2 linked regions of the Danio rerio genome follow. The protein of the gene in region 1 interacts with the protein of each later gene in a pairwise test. Links are inferred from orthologs where the notes say so. Each region holds a gene or a part of one and is shown in the gene's direction. Other genes may lie near its edges.

The links.
Region 2: the proteins of txndc5 (region 1) and gmppb interact in a two-hybrid assay, tested with the Homo sapiens proteins (2 studies listed by BioGRID and IntAct). The two-hybrid records come from large-scale screens. The link is inferred for Danio rerio from reciprocal best matches to the Homo sapiens genes TXNDC5 and GMPPB.

What each region holds. Positions count from the first base shown.
Region 1 is NC_133199.1:8,160,573-8,164,072, reverse strand, and holds part of txndc5 (thioredoxin domain-containing protein 5 precursor), read left to right. Parts: intron 1-2,730; coding exon 2,731-2,880; intron 2,881-3,500. UniProt on the Homo sapiens protein: Protein disulfide isomerase of the endoplasmic reticulum lumen involved in the formation of disulfide bonds in proteins. Can reduce insulin disulfide bonds.
Region 2 is NC_133197.1:41,298,755-41,302,254, forward strand, and holds part of gmppb (mannose-1-phosphate guanylyltransferase catalytic subunit beta), read left to right. Parts: coding exon 1-101; intron 102-2,574; coding exon 2,575-2,757; intron 2,758-3,500. UniProt on the Homo sapiens protein: Catalytic subunit of the GMPPA-GMPPB mannose-1-phosphate guanylyltransferase complex. Catalyzes the formation of GDP-mannose, an essential precursor of glycan moieties of glycoproteins and glycolipids. Can catalyze the reverse reaction in vitro.

The sequences.
Region 1 (3,500 bases):
TGACACCAAAAAACACAGCAATCCCAAATGTGACACTTTAAAAGACGTCAGCGTAATTCTCAAACACGTCTGTTAAGTGTGTGTTTAAATTGAAAAACAATAGAAAAGTAGCGCATTGGAGAGGAATTGTTAGGTGTGAACTAGGGCTGGCCGATTAAAATCTGTATTTATTGACCAAACACCGTTGTCAATTTTGATTATAAAAATAAAAAAAATAAAAAGATTCGGTATGAATCACTATAATGTTACTAAAATGTGGCTGCTGAGCGTGTGCTTTGGAAGCAATGCCAAAAAGCTTAGAGCAGGGGTCACCAATCTCAGTCCAGGATGGCCAGTGTCCCTGCAGGGTTTAGCTCTAACTTGCCTCAAAACACCTGCCTGGGTGTTTCAAGTATACCTAGTAAGACCTTGATTAGCTTGTTCAGGTGTGTTTGATTAGGGTTGGAGCTAAAATCTTCAGGACACCGGCCCTCCAGGAACAAGTTTGGTGACCCCTGGCTTAGAGTGTAGGTTTATCATTTTCAATGGAGGTGCTCGACTTGCACTGCACACATATGGGAGGGACGGGCACATGCATTTTCAAGGCGCACTCAGTTGAAAACATATGATCTTTTCCAAATGCTGCAAGTGCACTACAATTCATGCAAGGACAATTAACCAATCTGCTTTACGCTTTATATGCAATATACACATTTCAGTAATAACGGCAGACTAATTACCTCAGACAAACACTGCGCACCCAAACACTACAGTGCTTTTGACTTTTCTCTATAAACTTGCATCAAAGCTGCAGCAATGGTTTGTCCGTTTGTCATCCTCTGAGAAAACGGTTGATGGTCACCTAGTTAAAAGAGATGCCAGGGTTTGCGCTTCTCACTTCAGGTCAGAATAACAACACATGCAAAAATAAGTGCAGTGGCTAGCAGCAGTGAGGAGATTGTAAAAAAAGTAATGTTTTGTGAACATATTTCGGGAGGAAGTTTCAGTATCGAATAAGTCATTGACAATTATTCTATTATCAAATCAGTTCTTGAACAAACCCCTATATATACACCAAAGCTGTCTTACCTGCAGCATCTCATGACTTTAGCATCCCTCCACCACCCCGACACCTCACCTCTTAAAGCCTGGTTTATACTTCTGCCTCAAGTGACCGGCGTAACTCACGGCGCAGGCAACGCGCGCAGCGGTGCATTTATACTTCTGCGCGCTGTCTCTGTTGGTCTGCATTAACACTTCTGAAACGCTAGTGGGCAGTGAGGTGTTAATGTTCCTCTGTGTCGAGTTTCTTCGATTCTGTTTTGCTTTTCTGAACACTTCCTGGATGTACAAGTGACTCAAACTCGCTCATTTTGAAGCAGGAACCGGCGGACGTGCAACAACTTTAACCATGAGGTAAACACAAAACAAAACTTTCCATCCGGAGCTCCTTCACGGGACTCCACACTTGTAAACAATCGCTCGCGCCATGCGCGCGGCTCTCGGTCCCGCCCAGACTCGTCGGCGCTACCAAGCCGACCAATCACAGAGCTTGCGCTATGCGTTGTTGCGACGTGTAGTTACATTTTTTTGAGAGGTGCACGTCAGCGACACCGACGGCCACGGTGAAGGGCTATGCGTCAGCGCCGTAGCATACGCGGCCCTCCAGGAACAAGTTTGACGCAGAAGTATAAATCAGCCTTTAGCATTACATTCCCGGGGGGAAGCGTTCTGGGGCCGGGCTAGATACTTCACTCAAATCCCAACTCCTCTTTGTTTCCTCATTGTACTTAAATACACCTTATACTTAAACGACTGCAAGTGTGAACTCATGAAAAAAGGATCGCCAGTGTGACTTTGGTTTTTTTTTCTTGTGCATCTCAGCCACTAGCTCCCCATCTGAAAGTTTTTTTTTAGCATAGGGGGTAATCTAGTCATTCAGCTTCACAATTTGTAATGTTCAGCATGGATTTGAATAATGATGGTTGGTTCCGTTACTTAACTCAGATTTTATTATCATAATTTTTGTTTACGGAGCTGTATCATTATTATTCACACCTTACATAAGTTGATCTGCCTTAGTTGCACACACTTTTGTAACATTTTATTTATCAAGTCTAAGAGTCTCTTCTTTAACGAGAGATCAGAGATTTTGTTTAAATATTTTTGTTTTTGACTATTAACTATTTGCCTTGGTAAAGTTTTGTAAATTAAAATAAAGTAGTTAAAAATCCTGATATTCCTAAATGTATTGTTAAAAAAATATTCAATAATAATCGATATCAAATGATATGAAACATGATGTATAGTAATATTTATTTTTGTGTGAACTGCCCCTAAAACACTGTGACAATAGAAAGACCAGTTATGCTTTTGCACAGGCCAGTTTGTTTTTTATATACATTCAAGTTTTGTATAAGTGAGTATTGTAGTCATTCTAAATTGTATGATTATTTTAAATTTAGCCTGAGTTGGTCATATGACCGAATGTGTATGTTTATTTGGATATTCAACATAATTTAAAATAGCTATGAATCGTATCCAAAAAAAAATTATGAATTGTTTTTAAATTGTCAGTAGGTGGTGTCATAAATGTTATTTATTTATTTATTTATTTATTTATTTATTTATTTTATCAGGAACCCCATTAGCTACTACCAAAGGGAGTGGCTAATGGGGACTATTCAAAGGAAATTATATTGTTTACACCGAACAACAATGGTAAGCTGTGTATACGCTGTATGTTTTCAGATCGATCAGTACAAAGGAAAGCGTGATCTGGACTCGTTTAAAGAGTTTGTGGATAACCATGTGAAAGCTGCTGAATCTAAAGATGAACCCGAGAAAGAGGAGGAGCACACTCACGAAATCCCACCCAGCGCTGAACCTGAGAAACAAGAGGTGTGTGACTGCATTTTCACACAATATGGGTTTTGTGTACTGCTTGGCACCATTCGAGATTTGATTCGTTTGTGTTTGCGGACAGATGTTTGAGCTGCAGACTTTTTGGCTTGTAGAAGCAAATTTGCATCTTGAAGCTGAGGTAGTAATTATGGGCAGAGCAGCTATTTCCTCCTGCTGATGCAAATGTGCATGTGTGCGTGCGCGTGGGTTGGTGGGCAGGAGTGGAAGGGGTGGGCGGGGAACTTAAAGGGCTGTTATTTTGTTTTGTTAATTGGCTTTCCTGTTTAAGCTTGTCTTTTATAAAGGGATTCTAGCAGGCTGGATTTGTTAGATGGCTAAAGAATGTCCCACATGGGACTCTTTTACCACTTTCTAAGTAAAGACAACACTTTTAGTTGGATGATAGTTTTAAATAGGGCTGTACTATATTGGAAAAATCTAGCATTACAATATTTTTTATTCTGGGATTAGACACATTGCGATAACGATGCTGAAACGATATATTGTACAGCCCTAGGTATAAAAGACTGTAAACCATCAGACTCGCCAATGCTTTCGAGATGAGACCTTGGTCTTAAACACCGTTCTGAAGTGATGTTGTAATTAAGGAAGCAGAT
Region 2 (3,500 bases), on another chromosome or scaffold:
AAGACTTCCTGACGGGCATGTGCATGTACCTGCAATCTGTACGGCAGCAGGCCCCTGAGAGGCTCCGCGCTGGACCCGGCTTTCTTGGAAATGTTCTTGTGGTGTGAAGCTTTTTCTCATTGTTTTCTGCTCTCTGCACAATACTCTCACTCCGTCCTCTCCACAGGTTATGTATTATCAGGAGTTCACTCTTAGCTGATGATTGATTATAAAGCTTGTTTGGCATGCTGACCCGGGAGAGAGCCCTGAGCTCATACAACTCTAGAGCCTGGGGCTCCCTCATTTTGCAGGGAGAGAGGGGAGTTTGAGCTTAGGTAGGTCTGGAGAACTCCCCTGTTTTTATTTGTTAAAGACAAATTAGGGTTTGCTACAGATATACTGCTGGCTAAGAGCTCATCTGTGGTGCCAATTTAGGTTCACTGTAGTCGATTCACTTATCTCGCATGTGTTTGGATGGGGGTAAGGAACCGTCAAGAGCACAGGAAGAACGTGTAAACTCCACACAGAAATGTCAGCTGGCCTGGTAAGGACTTGAACCAGTGACATTCTTACTGTTAGGCAACAGTGCTAACCACTGGGCCACCGTGTCGCCATATCTAGGAAAAGGGGGAGGAGTAGAGGTGGAAAGGGGGATTCTTCAAGGTGAAGTTAACTCTGGTTATTTATAGTGAATTGGGAATGGTCTGATTGGTGAATCATGTGCTAATGCTAATGCGGGACCAGTCGTAGTCAATCCTTTCAAAATTAGTTCAACTTTAATATAATCAAGTCTTTTATTTAATAGAAAAATACTAATAAATTTACTGTGACAAATACTTGTCGCTATGGACAGACAATGAGCCTCTCGCCTATAAAACACTGAAGATTAGGAGTAAATAAAAACAGACCTTCATGAGAACTCTCTGGATTCACAAATGCTGTGTAAACATTCCTTTTCTTTTCTGCTTAGTCTCTTTATTAATCTGGGGTCACCACAGCGGAATGAACCACCTACTTATCCAGCATATGTTTTACACAGTGGATCCTCTTTCAGGCACAACCCATCTCTGGGAAACACCCACACACTCTTTCACACACATGCAAACTCCACACAGAAACGCCAACTGACCCAGCCGAGACTCAAACCAGAGACCTGAGAGCTGTGAGGCGACAGCACTACCTACTGCGCCACTGCGCCACCTGCTGTGTAAACATGACATTACGTAATTAAACATCTATGTTAATGACTTCCAGTTCCTCGTGTAAATGGTGCACGTGTACCCATTTACACAACTAGCATGGCCGAATCTCATCTATAAATTACAGCTACTTTACATTTTACATTTACATTTAGTCATTTAGCAGACGCTGTTATCCAAAGCGACTTACAAATGAGGACAAGGAAGCAATTTACACAACTAAGAGCAACAATGAATAAGTGCTATAGGCAAGTTTCAGGTCTGTAAAGTCTAAGAAGGGAAGTATTAGTAGTATTAGTATTTTTTTTTTGTGCAGTTAGTGGTATATTCAAAGAGGCAATTGCAGATTAGGAAGTGAAGTGGAGACTAAATAGTTGAGTTTTTAGTCGTTTCTTGAAAATAGCGAGTGACTCTGCTGTTCTGATGCAGTTAGGGAGTTCATTCCACCAACTGGGCAGATTGAATGCGAGAGTTCGGGAAAGTGATTTCTTCCCTCTTTGGGATGGAACCACGAGGCGACGTTCATTCACAGAACGCAAGTTTCTAGAGGGCACATAGATCTGCAGAAGTGAGAGCAGATAAGAAGGAGCAAGGCCAGAAGTCACTTTGTAGGCAAACATCAGAGCTTTGAATTTGATGCGAGCAGCAACTGGCAGCCAGTGCAAACGGAGTAGCAGCGGACCTAGACCTAGCGGACCTTTATATGCAGTGGAATGTTCTGGACTCCCTTCTAGGGTTTGGCTCCAACATGTTTGATAATTCCAAACAATATACAGTTAATGTGCAAATTAAAGTTCAAAATGTCAGGGTCTCTTGAAAACCTGTGGTGGTACATGTTGTTTTTTCCCAGCAGAGACGCATTGCTTGCTGGGATTTGTAATCCATGGCACTACGGGATTACAGGTGTCTTATTTTGAAGAGCATCACTGAATATAAAAATGCACTAACCAGGAATATTGACTTCTCCTTTGTTGCTCAGTCTCAATCCTCCTCCCCTGATTGGACAGCTGGGTAAAGAGTGACAGTGATTTGAGCTTTTACCCGGTTAAAGCAATGCAGAGACAGACAAAACAAAACAGAGTAGTAAAATATTCACCAGAACAAACACAGATGGTTTATGCAGCATCTAAGTGTGGTATTGGGAGCTGTTGTACCTTTCTTTTGTAGCTTCTAACAGAAATATAGTATGCTCATGTTTCACGAATGAGGCCTGATATGTGTCTAACAACATGAAGACGACTCTGGATTGTTATTGCCCGCAGGTTTTTACTGGACACTATTAGAGGCTGCAAAAACGTTAACAACAATCTTCTAAGATGTTGAGTAGTATGTATATTGTACTGCAGAATTTGATGCTTGTACTGAAATAATGAAACATGCCATAAATGTAACCCAGGACCCAACAGCAGTGATTGGGCAGAACTGCACCATTGGCCCAAATGTGACGATTGGAGCCGGGGTGGTTTTGGAGGACGGGGTGAGAGTGAAGCGCTGTACCATCCTGAAGGGGGCACACATACGCTCCCACTCCTGGCTGGAGTCCTGCATCGTGGGATGGAGCTCCTCAGTTGGGCAGTGGGTGAGTTTCACAATTTCAACAACAGAGCTCAAAGTGAGAGCGCACCTCTTCTGCAATCTGGGATCTGGAGTCATTTTTTATCCAATATATACAGAGCATCTGTGAAGTGTGGAGAGCGCTTCAGTTTCTGTCACAGCCTTATTCCAACATGGAGTGAATTCCTTTATTTCCTCAACATTCTACACACAATCCCCCATAATGAGCATGTGGAGAAGAGAGTTTTAGAAATTGCAGCAGATTTATTGAAAATAAGCAGCTGTAAGATCACCTGTACATCAGTGTTCACAGGCTTTGCTCAAGACTCTGTTGATGCTCCTTTGGCAGTGATTACAGCCTCGAGTCTTTCTGAATATGATGCTCGAGCTCTGCACCGCTGTCTTTGGGGATGTTCGCCCGTTCCTCTTTGCAGCACCTCTCAAGCTCTATCAGGTTGGATGAGAAGTGACGGTGTACAGCCATTTTCAGATCTCTCCAGAGATGCTCAATAGGATTTAGGTCTGGGCTCTGGCTGGGCCGCTCCATTGATATGTTGGCGGTGTGCTTTGGGTCGTTGTTCTGCTGCAAGATGAAGCGTCGCCCCAGTCTGAGGTGGAGAGCACTCTTGTGCAGGTCTTCATTCAGGATGTCTCTGTACATCGCTGCATTCATCTTTCCCTCTATCCTGACTAGTCTTCCAGTTCCTGCTGCTGAAACACATCCCCACAGCATGATGCCGACACCACCATGCTGCACTGTAGGGATGC